3 linked regions of the Drosophila melanogaster genome follow. The protein of the gene in region 2 interacts with the protein of the main gene of each other region in a pairwise test. Each region holds a gene or a part of one and is shown on either strand. Other genes may lie near its edges. The genes, in order: Jupiter, Fs(2)Ket and rtet.

What was found.
Region 1: the proteins of Fs(2)Ket (region 2) and Jupiter interact in a two-hybrid assay, tested with the Drosophila melanogaster proteins (one large-scale study listed by BioGRID).
Region 3: the proteins of Fs(2)Ket (region 2) and rtet interact in a two-hybrid assay, tested with the Drosophila melanogaster proteins (one large-scale study listed by BioGRID).

The regions. Positions count from the first base shown.
Region 1 is NT_033777.3:11,601,638-11,606,650, reverse strand, and holds the start of Jupiter (jupiter), read left to right. Parts: upstream 1-1,896; 5' UTR 1,897-2,065; intron 2,066-2,367; 5' UTR 2,368-2,447; coding exon 2,448-2,509; intron 2,510-5,013. UniProt on the Drosophila melanogaster protein: Binds to all microtubule populations.
Region 2 is NT_033779.5:20,732,920-20,737,938, forward strand, and holds the start of Fs(2)Ket (female sterile (2) ketel), read left to right. Parts: upstream 1-1,991; 5' UTR 1,992-2,171; exon of another isoform or gene 2,172-2,250; intron 2,251-2,333; 5' UTR 2,334-2,453; coding exon 2,454-2,511; intron 2,512-3,183; coding exon 3,184-3,425; intron 3,426-3,498; coding exon 3,499-4,527; intron 4,528-4,595; coding exon 4,596-5,019. Other genes in the region: TM9SF2 (transmembrane 9 superfamily protein member 2), read right to left, coding at 1-97, 1,007-1,144.
Region 3 is NT_033777.3:21,106,620-21,111,463, forward strand, and holds rtet (tetracycline resistance), read left to right. Parts: upstream 1-1,826; 5' UTR 1,827-1,987; coding exon 1,988-2,431; intron 2,432-2,627; coding exon 2,628-2,969; intron 2,970-3,032; coding exon 3,033-3,106; intron 3,107-3,399; coding exon 3,400-3,575; intron 3,576-3,632; coding exon 3,633-3,938; intron 3,939-3,996; coding exon 3,997-4,088; 3' UTR 4,089-4,215; downstream 4,216-4,844. Other genes in the region: Sec15 (secretory 15), read right to left, coding at 17-1,134, 1,199-1,274.

The sequences.
Region 1 (5,013 bases), on a different chromosome or scaffold from region 2:
TAACCGCATGTCCCCACAGTCCCCATTCCAAGTCATTCCCCCCGCCCGCTTTTATTATTCCATTCCTGGACAAGTTGGTGCTGTTAATTTTTTTTAAGGGGAAAGGAAGAGGATACATATTATATTTTAGAAATTATCTCAAGATTATTCTTATATCAAGATTACCATAATTGACGTTACTATAATTGAAATTACACCATAATTGACATATTTTTCAATATTTCTCGCAGTAACAATTTGAATAAACTGTGAGTTGATGGGAAACTAGCTGAACTGTCAACTCTGGGGCAAGTACATAACGCCTAGGCTTTTACTTGCGCACAGCGACCGGCAAAAGGGGGCAAGTGGCATGTTGGTGTCAGGTTGCCGCATGTGCACCACTCCGCCGAATGCCCGCACCACCTCTGGCAACCCGTGCACCGCTCAGTGGGTAGCTAGTCCCACGACCCACCGATGGTAAAATAGCAAAACGGCAAGAAGCAGCGGCTGCGGCGACGACACGGCCAGTCAACTTTTGGCTCGGCTAAACAAAAGTGTCTTCGCAAGCTAAAAATAACCACTGTTTTGGCCCAGCTGCTTCCAACACACCCCTACCCTCTCCTCATTTTCCCGCCGACTTTGTGGCTCCATGGCCCGATCCTCTTAGTCGCTAGCTTGCGCTTCCTGTTCTGTGTGCAAATCTGTGCCAAATGTTTTCCAAGAAAACGCAGTATGCAAATACATATTGCATTTAAATTCTTGCTGCAGCAGCAGCAAAGCAGCAGCAAGTGTGGCAAATACAGGAAAAGGGGCAAAAGGGGCGGCCTCATTAGTGGCAAGACACTTGAAATTAGAGTTTGCAACTACTGCTACTGCTGCTGCTGTTGGCCCCAACCGAACTGAACGCTTGGCGATGATGAAAGTGATTTATGTCCGGCAAAGCAATGTTCCTCAGCTCCTCGTAGACACGAGACCCGATGTCTGGCCTGGCAGCAGCTTCATCTTGGCCAGGAAACATGTTTGTGGGCTGCTACCGCCTTGCAGCTGTGCTGTCCACACCCTGTAATCAAAGATAAGAAGCGTGTTGGAAATGGGGGGGGCTAAGTTCATAATGTTTTAGTACAAACTGAAATAGATATGAGCCTTTCTTTCGGCATTCAACTGCGATTTGTTTGTAGAGCTTGGATTTAGATTATAATAAGGTTTGGGTTTATAAGCCTGGTAGTTGAATTTTAGTGAATTGTGTATTTTTTGCAATCATTCAATAAAGTATAAATTTGATTTTTGCTATGGGTACATTTGGGTTTAAAACTTTGAATGCACTTGATTTTTTTAAGAGAAACTAGTTTTAAAAAACGAAGAAGATCAAGCAGAAGAAGCTGAGAAAAGAAACAATTGCATAGGAACCCTGAAGTGCACTAGACCTGAACTATTACTATTTTTTCGCTTTTCTAGCGCTTTTTGCAATGGCACGGCATAACTGAAGCATATCTGCGCACACTTCTCGCCGGTGGGGCACATAAAATGAGATAAATAAATGCAGAATGTTAATCCCGCAAGTGTCTTAAACACGGCTTAAGTATATGTTTTATTTTCGCTTCAGTTCCTGGCGTATTTTAAACTTTTTTGTGACCTACAAGCGGAGTGAAGAACTCACCACGAGTTGGGTTCTGCCCCACAAGTGAGAGATAGAGAGAGGGAGAGAGCATGGAAGAGAGCGGGCTCCAACTCTAATCAGCATCAGCTGTAGTTTGTTTTTGTTTTGATGCGCCACATGGCGGGCACTCACTCTCTTGCGCTCCCGCTCTCTTCCCGTGCAGCTTTTGCGCTCTGAGTGAGTTGGGTTTCGGTCGTTGTTTTTGGATCGATAAAACTTCTCGCGCTGCCGTGGTATAAAATGCTTTTCACTTTTCCCACTGCACTTTAGTCGCCAGACATTTATCGAAACGTGCACATCACCAGCGGTCGCACACTCAAACATATTGCATATATATATATATATATATATATTGCTATCCCAACAAAATATCCTTCGAATCGAAAAAAACCCACGCGAGTGCAAATCAAAAGTTTTTTAGCTTTCTTTGTGAGTGAAGTGTTTTTTGGGAATTTTTTCGGTAGTTGGTTGGGAAAACGTTGCAAGATATCCTGGCTTATCCAACTAAAGGAATTTCGTCCGTTTTCTGTCCGCTCTTACTGCACCCCCCTCTCCGCATATCTCTTGTCCGTTCTCTCCCGGGATGCTCCTTGCATTCTCTCGCAGTTGAGTAGGGTTTATTGATTTTACGCACATGCAGCATCCCCATCTATGAGTCATCATCATTCGTCCTGCAACATTTTCCCCCACGTGCCTAATCTCCGTTTTCCCCCACATCCGCGTGCGCTTAGATTTTTCCAGTGCGAAAAGTAAAGCAATTGCATCCATTCAACAGAGAGATTATCCTTTCGCCAAACAAATAGAAACAGAAATGGCCGCCTACGCTGCTTTCAAACACGTTGAGCTTTACAATGTTGGCAAAGCAAAGAAGAGGTAAGAAATTCCTAAAGGATACAGTTAAAGTGACATTTTTAAAGACTTCAGAACAAAGAATTTGCATGTCAAAAAATGAATCGATAAATTCGTTGTCCGGATTTATTACACATTTTTACACGGAAAAGGGAGTTCATCAGTTTTTGTCAATGCATGTCCCCATGCAAGAAAAGTCGTTTAATACGAGTACAAAAAGTGGCCTTTGTTAATAATGCTTTTGTCAAAAACCATCTTCTGAGGTTTTAAAAGGGTATAAATCACCATGACGCACAAAGAGAATCATATGGCTGGTAATTTCAGTAAATAGATATATTATCAATATTTATTCAAAATGAGTCTCACTAATTATGACAAGCTGCAAAGAATTGAAGGAATATTGTTTTGACAATGACGAACAATGATTAGTAGGTTCTTTATTAACAAATAATGTTCTCATGTAAATCATTACAGCTAGGACAATCAATATATTCTGTATTTGTTTAAAAATCTGTGTATCATAATAACGTAACTTACACGATGTTACTCAATGTGTTTGACTTATATTGAGGTTATTCGCCGACCGACTCATTTTCCCTGAAGTTTAACAACTGTTACGTGCCTACTGCACATTCTGTTATTGTTTGCCATCGCTCGAGTGAACTTTGATTGGCAAACATTTCGGAAGGCAGCAGCCTCATCGTGATCTGCATCAACATCTCCATTTCCATCTTTATCCCATTGTCTGAGCTGTCGGGCCGCACAAACACCGCACACTTACATATTCATTTGGTTATGTGTGTAGATTAATTTAGCGTTCATTCACCTCGCCGCCGCCTGACTGACTGACTAACTAATACTACCCATACAGTCGCGTGTGCACGGGGCGTATGTGTAATCTGGGGAGCACCACTTTTGCAAGCGCCTACTTCCCACAAAACCGAAACCACCTAGCAAGTGAACCACCACCACCCAGCAAAGCCAAGCCAAGCCAAGCCGCCGGTGTTGGCATGTCTTTGGATGTCGTCTCATTGATTTTCCTTTGCCAACCCAACGGCCACCTGCCCCACGCCAACCCACCGCACAAAGCACCACCCGCGACACCACCACTGCAGTCGTCCACTCGATGCTACCGCACCAAAGTCAAAGGGACCGACCGGCGTTCTTTGGGAATATACCCTTTCTTGCTCCGAGGCGTATGACAATCTCTTTTCGTGCCATCAAAACAATGCGCAATTTTAATTACGAGGTGTTAACGAAATATACTATTTGACGTGACACTACTACTAATAATAATAATGTTTGCACATCTAAGCAAAAGTGATTTCTCGGCTTCATCTGTGTTTCATTTAATTTCAAGGAGTAACTGCCAAACCGCTCTGTCAGTCTTTGCATAAAAAAAAATGGTGGCTTTATTAAACTATTTTTAGTTTATTAAAACTTGTTTTATTAGTACATAGACTTTGAAAGTTCAAAGTGTAGAATGGCATTTTTACAGTTATGAAGCTTATGATTTTTTATGGCATACTAAAATCCATAATAGCCGCCTATGGTGTACTAAAAACATTGGTTATGCAGTTATTATGAAAATTCAATTTTAGCTTCAACTCACTTTTCGGCAATCAAACAGATTTGTTAAACATAAAAACTGATTAGATTCGCCCATTATCCAAATGATACGAAATATAATAAAATGTTTATTATTGAACAATCACGTCCTATTACCGCTAAAAATAAATCATTATATTATTACCGTTTATCGCCGCTTGTACGACGAGGGTATTTCCCCCATCGACTTCTCTCAACTATGGCCCGCCTTTCTTTTTCAGTTAGTTTCGGCATTTGTTTTTGCATGCAATTCTTTGACCAAGCCCCATGTGCCCAGCACCACCCATTTTTCGCCTTTCGAGTGGGGAAACAACAACAAAATCGTTATCGAAATGTTTTTCGCTTATGTCTATTCCGTATACCACTCTTACGCTCTCGTACCTGTTCCGAGTTTGAATTCGTGTCCAAGTCCGCTTCCCTGTCCGCTGTTCCGACCGTCTGTCCGTCCGTCCGTTCAACTGTCCGTTTGTCCGTTGTCCGTCGTCCGCTGGTCCGTGGCGGACATTGAACCCCGCCTCTCTTCGCGGCCGTTGGGATCGGAGATTAGTTTTGGTCGCGGCAGAAACCAAATAGAAACAATTTTCCTTATGTGTGCCATGTGCATTATAAACAATTTGCTGGATTTTATGGTCCATCGATGGGTGGCTGGCTGCTGGGGATAAAGTGTGGAAAATGTGTTAATCATTGTCATTGATTGCGATTGTGTAACATACCGCCTTGGACTTTCCCGCCGGCGGCTGGGGGGAAAATGATTAATATACTTTTCCTCTGCATTTCGATGCAGCGTTTTGTCTGCCGTGTGTGTGTGTGTGTGTTCTCCTTTCTTCGGCAAAGCCATGACTTATTATTGTAAACAATCAAATTAAATCTCAAAGGTGCGACGCGCCAAGATATCGGATTGAATTGTCGCTCTTTGTTGC
Region 2 (5,019 bases):
TCTGCTCCTCGCCCAAACAAAAGTCGAAGTGATGGTACTCATAGGGTATTACGGATTCCTCAGTGTTTAAGCGGTTGACGTACAACAAGATTTCCGACTGAAGAAGATAATCAGGAATTAGATCAATCAATTGGATTGACAACTGTTGATAATACTAGTGTATTTTAATCTTATCGTGGAAATAATTATTAAAGTTTGGTAAAAATTCCAAAAGTTTGCAAATGCGTTCGATAATTTGACCCCGTAATTTGCTTTTACTTTGGGTTCTTAGAAATTTATCTTATCAAAAAGCTCTCTTAGATTGTTAGAAACAATTGAATGTGAAACACCTTAATTAATTCTTATCATTGGGCAACGTCTAATTTAAGGGCGTATAAACCGATTAGGATTTCTTGACCTACGGGTATATTAAAAAGTTGTTTAGATTTGTTTAAAGATAAGATGAAGCAAACAAAACCAATAGCTCACGCTTTATCATCCAATAGTTAGGTCATCTTTTAAAAGGGCTAACCCCATCTATTTGGGATATCAAACTAAAAATTATACTTTGTCCTGAATTTATATTGTTATTGTGTTATACTATTATTACTAAAAAGAAAATAACCCAAACATAATGCAAGGAAGCATGACAAGCTAACCGCGTTCCCTGGTTCAATTATTGGTTAGCCGCCACTATGTTAAGATTCTTAAGGTCGGGAGCCCCCGAAATCGCATTCGCGAGCCAGCTGAACCAACATTAGAACTCCCATCTAGCTGTCGCTAGGAAAGAGAGCTGGCGTAGGCAACGTCAGCAGAAGTTGAGATAGAGGGCCACATATGGACCCCACATATAACTAGTTACTGCGCTTATCAGTGCTTCCGCCTGTGACCACCATTAGAGGAATATAGAACCAATGTACATAACTAGTTCCAGTGCCTTTGCTAATTGTGGCGGGCGTGGGGCAAACACACCCACTATCTACGTACATATGTACATCTGCACTTCTGCACATACGTATACACCTACCTTGCATGTGGATGAGACGTCGGTTTTCTTGCAGAAATTGACCGGTGCCAGTCCGGGCAGATAGAAGGCCTGTGTCGGGGTCGCAAGGTGCAAGAGAACGACGCCCAGGAGCGGCAGAAGTCCGGATAGCAGGATCATCTCGAATTGGGGTAACCAACGAACGGCAGGAGTAGCAGACCTTCTTCCTTTACTTGTACGGGTTGTAATCACAACGTGGCCGTGTCCGCGATTCTCTGCCACACTTTCCGGATCGGCGGGCCACGCACAAACCGTACTATCTGGATATTTATCGGAATATACGGAGTTTTTCGAGTGTTTTTACTACGTTTCCTCTTTTTTGCCGAACGTCAGCACTGTAGCAGCGTTGCCACCTAGTACAGCTGAGAGGGCTGCCAACTGGCTGACAAAAAAACTACCAGCATTTGCAAAGCTAAATATTACCGCGAAAACCTTTAGCTCTTATTATTATTACGTGCAAAACGAAATTTGGTAGACTTAATAAACTTTTATATTTAAATTAATTAATTCCCCTGTTCAGTAAGCGAATGCAACCAATATACACACGTATACGTGTGATACTTCTAAGATATTACTATTTTTATCCACTGTTTCTTAATATAGTAATCAAATTTTGTTCATTTGTTAGTTTTTTACCTACGACTCTTAAGTCAAAGTATTCGATTATTTAGTTCGTTCGAGGTTTTGCTTCCGTGCTTATCTTTGAATATGAAAATTTTCGATAAGCACAATCATTCAAATTTAACGATTGATTTTTGGGGAGGCAAACGCGTTTTAATACAAGTAGTAAGTATTTTGGTCTTATCGTTCCTGACTAATAATATATTTTGTCAAATGGTTGCACATTTCCTACGCATTTAAGAATATTTAATTAATACGTTATTAGATTTAAAAATTATCGATAGTTCGAATAAAGCAATCGAATAGGTGTCGCCTTTTTCATCGAAACTCAGTGCTATCAAATAAAAATCGACATTCGTTTCAGCTCTATTTCAAATCGGAGACACAAGAAATATATTGCCTGCACTTCCCGAAGAGCAGATAAAGGTTCTGCCACCATTAAATAGGCTTATAATAATAACTAAGAAAATCGCCGTTAGGAATCCCGCGCTTTTTTACCGTTCCCGAAAAATAACCAAACAACAATGTGAGTAGAATGAAGAGTTCTACTGAACGCGCTTGTTGTGTGCGTGTGTGCGAAAAAATCAATTCTTTTGACAATCAAGGTGTTGCAACCTGTCGAAATAAAATCGCCAGCTTCAGCGGAGCAGCCCAATAACTTTAACTCTTTTGTCTCCACCATTTGCAGCCGACAGACTAGTGTTGTCTAGTAATTACGCAAAAATTCCATCACCCACACAGACGCACGAGCTGCAGAAAGAAACGGAAAGTGAAGTAGAAATCATATAGAGAGGAAAAGAGCGAAGACATGACTTCCGATATCGCCATGCAATTGATTGCCATTTTGGAAAAGACGGTGTCGCCAGGTGAGTTTCCCCACTGCTACAAACGTGTGTGTATAGATCCGAAAAATATGGATTTTTCTTCGATTGGCGGGAGGGACGCGCGTTATATGTTGCGCAGGGTTGCAATAGGCGCTCGCATATGTTTGGTTGCTAGGGGCCTCCGCACACATGTGCATCCACGTACATACTCCAAGGGAAACTTGGCGGCGCGTCTGTATGTATTCGCAATGCTTGCGCTCCTACAATTAAGGATGTACGAACCGCCTGCGACATAACCTCACTAACTCTAGGAATCGATGAGGCGTCGCTTCGGAGTCACCACCGTATGCTTGGCGGCCAGTTCTTCCGGTTGCTGATAAGGAATGCCTGCAAACTTGCCCCTTGCCTGAAGATTTTATGCTCCACCGCTACAATTCATTACTAGACCTTACTGCTTAGCTCTTCATATGCACACACTTCTTTCACCATCTATTGTATTCTTATTAAACAATATTCTCACTATATACGCCTTGCCTAAAAGTTCCTATCTTGCCTTCACATTCCCAAAAGTCAATTGTTGTAAAATTCAATGGCCTGATACCAAAGCTTTAAGCCGACCCAAAATGGTGGGCGTGTGTAGGCCCACAAATAAAATCTTTCGTTGACATAATTGGAAATTAAAAATGTCTAACCAACCAAATGACGCATTTTCAGACAAAAATGAGCTGCTATCGGCGAAGAACTTTCTGGAGCAGGCGGCGGCCAGCAACCTGCCCGAGTTTCTCAAGGCGCTGTCAGAGATACTGGTGAACACGGCCAACAGTGCGGTGGCGCGAATGGCAGCCGGTCTCCAGCTGAAGAACCACCTGACCAGCAAGGACGAGAAGGTCAGCCAACAGTACCAGGATCGCTGGCATCAGTTTCCCAGCGAGATCCGCGAGTTGATCAAGAATAACGTAAGTTACATACGCTGATGTTGAAACATATGACTTGTACAATTGGCACTGAATAACTGCGACTTACTTTCAGATCCTGGCTGCTTTGGGTACCGAGAACACCCGACCCTCCTGCGCCGCCCAGTGCGTGGCCTATGTGGCCGTGATTGAGCTGCCGATAAACCGCTGGCCCATGCTCATCCAGACACTGGTGAACAAGGTGGTCAGCGAAGGATCCAGCGAGATGCATCGCGAGTCGGCGCTGGAGGCCATTGGCTACATTTGCCAGGACATTCGTTTCGGCGTCATGGAGAACCAGTCGAACGATGTGCTGACTGCTATTATTCACGGCATGAGAAAGGTAGAGCCGAGCAATCATGTACGCTTGGCGGCCACCACGGCCCTTCACAACTCGTTGGAGTTCACCAAATCGAACTTTGAGAAAGACATGGAGCGCAACTTCATCATGGAGGTGGTGTGCGAGGCCACTCAGTGCCAGGACTCGCAAATCTGCGTTGCCGCTCTGCAGTGCCTGGTGAAGATTATGACCCTTTATTACCAGTACATGGAGCCCTACATGGCACAGGCTCTTTTCCCTATTACTTTGGCGGCCATGAAGTCTGATAACGATGCTGTAGCGCTGCAGGGCATAGAGTTCTGGTCGAACGTCTGCGATGAGGAGATAGATCTGGCCATCGAAAGCCAGGAGGCCACTGATCAGGGCCGCGCTCCGCAGAGAGTGTCCAAGCACTATGCTCGAGGTGCTCTGCAGTTCCTGACGCCTGTGCTCGTCGAGAAATTAACCAAGCAGGACGAGTGCGATGACGAGGACACCTGGAGCCCGGCGAAGGCCGCCTCCGTTTGCCTCATGGTGCTGGCCACATGTTGCGAGGACGAGATCGTGCCACATGTGCTTCCCTTCATCAAGGAGAACATCGAGTCACCTAATTGGCGATTCCGCGACGCAGCGGTAATGACTTTCGGCTCCGTGCTGAATGGATTGGAGACCAATACCTTAAAGCCGCTCGTGGAGCAAGCCATGCCCACGCTCATTCGACTGATGTACGACTCCAGCGTTATCGTGCGCGATACCATCGCCTGGACCTTCGGACGTATTTGCGATGTGCGTAGTGGTGATTTTTAAGGTGATTCATATTGTCATACTAACCTTCTACTGCTTTTTCCTGACAGATAATTCCCGAGGCGGCTATCAACGAGACATATCTTCAAACGCTTTTGGAGTGCTTCGTGAAGAGCCTAAAGTCAGAGCCGCGTGTAGCAGCCAACGTGTGTTGGGCCTTCATTGGACTTTCCGATGCAGCTTGGGAGGCAGCGGTCACCAACGACGGAGAGACTCCGGAGACGTACGCCCTGTCCCCGTACTTTGAGTACATCATTACCCAGTTGCTGGAGACCACTGATCGATCGGACGGAGCTCAAGCCAATTTGCGATGTGCTGCTTATCAGGCACTTATGGATATGATCAAGAACTCTCCCTTGGATTGCTACTTGGTGGTCCAGCGCACCACGCTGGTGATTTTGGAGCGCTTGAACCAGGTGATGCAGATGGAAACGCAGATTAACAATCACAGCGATCGTCATCAGTTCAACGATC
Region 3 (4,844 bases), on a different chromosome or scaffold from region 2:
ATTTCTTAACGTTCACCTCATTATAATGATCCCGCATGTTGTGCAATAGTTCCCAGAGGATGTTCACGGTGTAACCGTAGCACTTAAAGGTGTTGATGGACAGCATAATGAGGTTCTTAATGCGCAGAAGGATATTAGGATCGGTGCAGGACGAAGAACTCATGCTGATTTCGTTGACAAACTTGGTTAACGAGCTGGACCACAGATCCTCCAAATAACTGCTGGTCACGACATCGCCCGCCGTGTTTTTAACGTGATCCTCAACCACGAAGAAGCCAACGATGGCACAGATGTACGTTTTGTAGGCCTCCAAATTGTCGTGCATGTTGGGCGGCGGTTGAAGCACCAGTTTGGCCTGATCCCTGCGCTGCTGACGATAGTCCTTCTCGAAGTACTCCCGCTGACCCAGCACCATGTAGATGTGTAGGCAGCGGTAGATGGGGGAGAAGTCAATGAGATCCTGGGCACTAACGTTGGCACCATCATCATCCCCGCCAGCACCTGCTCCGCCGGCTTCGCCGCCATTCATCTGCTGCATGTGCTCGGCAATGATGGCGTTGATATCACGCTTTTGGAGCTGTTTTGTGTGTGTGATGGCCAGCTCGCCGATGCGGGGTGAAAACTTCCGGATGTTCTCGAGGAACTCTCGAAAGTCCGAGGCGGAAGAGCGACGGATGTTTTCCTTGATTATGGGAATCTGTATCTGCATCTGGGTGGCGAATCGGTAGTTGTGTGTCTTCAAGCGCGTTAGGTGCTCCGTCTCCAGAGTCTCCAGAGTTCTCAGCGCCTGGTAGTACTGCTTGTTCTTTGCCTGCTGTGTGAACTTCATGTAGCACTCCAATGCGGGCAGACAGGATTTGAGTGCCTCGATGGCGCTGGCCAGATTGGATTCGATCTGACGGGCCCGCACTAGATCATTGCCCTGCTGAATCAGCGAGGCGCTGATCTGGCGAAGGGACGTGTCCAAGGAATGCACTTCGTTGTGCAGCTGTTGGGCCTGCGTGCGCACCTGGAGCAGCTCCTGAATTGAATCGATGAAGCCCTGGTAGTACAGATTGCAGATCCGCTCGATCTCTTTGTCATGGCTCCGTATCCGCTGCTCCAGTTGGTCGCCAATCTGCTTAGTGTTGTTGCCTGTCCGGGAAAAAAGGAAAATGGGCGTAAACAAAGTGTGCCAATTGCTTCTATTCGCAGTCACCTTCAAGGATCGAACGGAATGTTGGTCCCCAGTAGTCGTCCACCGCCTCAATGTCTTGCACGGTCACTTTGGACATCTTATAACGCTCTTTTTTCTCTTCTAAACAACTTTTTACCAAACTTTAATGAGCAATTATTTCGCCGACTTATCGGTATGGTATATCGAATATTTACTAAGTGTTATCGAGGTTTGACTTTCGATACTAGGCGATAACAATTTTAAGCGGTATGTTTTAAATTATAATACAAAGTTGTGTCAGAGAATATCTGACTGCATTATCTTTTAAAAAGATATTATCACTAGGATTGTAATAAAATAAATAAATCAAATAGGCGAAAACTACCGAATCATAAACTTAATTTATATATGTATATCAAAATCCGGTTCTTAACTATTTAAGCAGGAAACAATGATTTGTAAAATATTTATAAATTAATTAAATATTTACAACTTAAACCTATGCTATTAGTAATGTTCACCAACATAATATTCGTTGGTAATTTTGATAAGAAAAGTAATTAATTACAGATGTTTGAATAACTCATTTTGGCGCCCTTATTTCAAATATCCGCAGCAAGCAACAGGTTGGAATGCCGTCTGCTCGTTATAGGCCGCCTTGGAACAGCTGTTGCTGTTCAGCTTTCACTTTGGCTTCGCTTTGGCTGGCCGCTTCTCGAGAGGGCCAAGAGTTGTCGGTGGAGTTGTGGTTCCGTTGATACAGTTATGTTGCAGTAACACCCGTACACGCACGCAATCACGGCACAAGCTAAACACCCGAAATCAGCAAAGATGGCCGACCTACGGAGTCGCCACAATGGAACCGCTGCCATGGAGAAGCAAAGCCACAGCCAAACCGGAAGCCACCATCACAACAACAATAAAGCGCTGGATAAGGAAGCATCGGAGAATGGAAAGCCGGAGAAGAGTGATCCCATGATATACATAATCTTCGTATCGCTGCTCTTCGACTTACTGGCCTTCACCATCATTCTGCCGCTGCTGCCCTCGCTGTTGGAGCACTATCGCCAGAACGACAGCTCCGGCTTGTATGCCGTGCTCACGGATCGGGTGCGCTGGTTCCAGCAGCTCCTGGGCGCCCCGGATCGCTACATATCGGTGCTATTCGGAGGCTTTCTCGGCTCCATGTTCAGCTTCCTGCAGTTCGTGGCCAGTCCGATTGTCGGAGGACTCTCGGACTACTACGGACGGAAACCAGTCCTGCTGGCTTGTGCGGTAGGTAATCCCAGTGCTCAATGCTTTAATGTGCACTAAACACTAAACTAGTCTTGTTAGTTTTCTTTTTGGCTTGGTCAACATTTCATGCTATTACGAGTTCAATCCAAAAGCGTGGAATTCGTCAAATTCAAACTCCTTAGCTAAGCCACAAATAAGTAAACCTTCCTTAAGCTACGTCTTCTTTCATCTATAGAGTGGTATTGCGTTATCCTATCTGATCTGGGCCTGCTCCAGCAACTTTGCCCTGTTCGTTTTGGCCCGCTTCGTGGGCGGAATTAGCAAGGGCAACATATCCCTGTGCATGTCCGTCATTACGGATGTGTCCAGCGTTAAGACCCGTGGACGCGGTATGGCCCTTGTGGGTGTGGCCTTCTCGCTGGGCTTTATTGTGGGGCCCATGATTGGAGCCCTGTTCGCCATATTCTCCGATAAAAGTGGAAGTACTTGGTTTGTGTTGCCCTCTCTGCTGGCGTTTGGCCTGGCAGTTGGAGATCTTGTGGTCCTGGCCTGCTGTCTGCGGGAAACGTTGCCCAAGGTGCGTACGGTTGGCTAAATTAAATATATTCCCAACACCATTAATTGTTTGACCTTTTCGCAGGAGAAACGTGTTAAGGAGATATCATCTGCACTGTCTTATGGCCTGCAGTTGCTCAATTTTTCGGCCATATTTAGGTAATTCAATGTTTTAATTAGCATGTCTCGAAAACCTGTCGTGTGATCAAATCGAAATCGTCATACGGTGAGAACTGCAAGCCACCCGGACTTGCCTGACTGGTTTGATAGACACTATTATCATGCCGGGTTCTCGGACACGTTTGTTTGATTGCCTTATCAGTTAGTAAATTCTAGATTGCTTTTGATTAATTGTAGTTACAGGGAATTGAGTCCAGTTAGCTAGAAGATTATTACCAATGATTATGTCTGGATTTTACAATCATATTTCAAAAGAATTCTCCCACTGACAGATTTGCTGCCATCAAAAATGTGCCTAAGAAAGACATTGCGGCACTGCGATCCATTGGCCTGGTATACTTCTTGTATCTCTTTCTGTATTCCGGCTTGGAGTTCACCGTCACATTTCTGATGTACCACAAATTCGGTTACACTTCGATGGATCAGGCGAAGATGTTTTTGACAACGGGTATGGAGCAAGTTGATAATCTACAATATTCCCTATCAAATTTGTGTCTTTTTCTAGGTGTAATCATGACTTTGCTGCAGGGATCGGTGGTCCGACGGCTGCCCGAGGCGAAGATCAAAGGCTATGCCATCTTCAGTTTGTACCTGATTGTACCCGCCTTCGTAGTAGTCGGCCTAGCCGAGGGCAGTCGGATGCTGTACGCCGGCATGACCCTGTTCGCAATCTCCACAGCCTTCGCTGTCACCTGTCTGACCACCCTCGTATCCAAATACGGAAACGATGACCAGAAGGGTTCAGTACTGGGCATATTCCGCTCACTGGGAGCTTTGGCTCGAGCTCTGGGCCCCGTGGTGGGATGCATTGGTGAGCTCCTCAGCTGTCTTAGGATTATACCTTTTCTAAACTCTTTAATCCTTAATAGCCTTCTGGTGCGTTGGCTCCAGGATCACCTATATAGCCGGCGGACTTCTGCTCATTTATCCAGCCATGGCCTTGCAACGCGCTCGCATTTAAGTGCAATAGGAATAGAGTTTTTAAACTCACTAGAGATCAACGGAAGTATTAGCTGCACATTATACTTAATTTATCGTTTTTTACAAGTATTTTATATTAAAATAAACACATTTTTACTCTGATTTGTAAGCAGGGGGTTTTTACTTGGGATCGAAATGTTTTCTATTTAATTAATTTTTTTAATAAGATAATATTAGAAACAGTTACTGCTACTGGGAGAACGATTCTGTTTAGGTTGGAACGTTTTAAGTATTCAAGACATTTTGAGTTGGAAATAAGTTAAATGGGCTAGGGATAATCCCTAGAAAATGTGTTCAGCTTTTTTAAAATACGATAGGCTTGTCGGGATGAAACGAGAGCAGTTCATGATAATTCGTCGTACCGTCTGGTAACTCTAAAACATCCATCTCGTTAATTTAGTGATGCAAGTCGATGTGAAAACATCGATAATGATATAAGTATGTTGGTGTTTTAAAATAAAACAAATAAGTTTTTTAAATAGGAAACAAACATTAGATTTATTTTCTAGACCTAATGTGTTTTAATTATGAAAAAATTTAATTCTAATTCTAAAGCTTTTGAGTATAAAACAATGTTCATATAAACAAAAATAGAAGTGACATTGTACTATCGCCTTACATCGCCATTAAGAAAATCGATAAGTATCGCCGAAATAATGTCGATGTACCGATATTTTTCAACATCTCTAGTCTCGTTGGAAATATAACGTGACGTTATTGGGAGTGACTAAGTTTT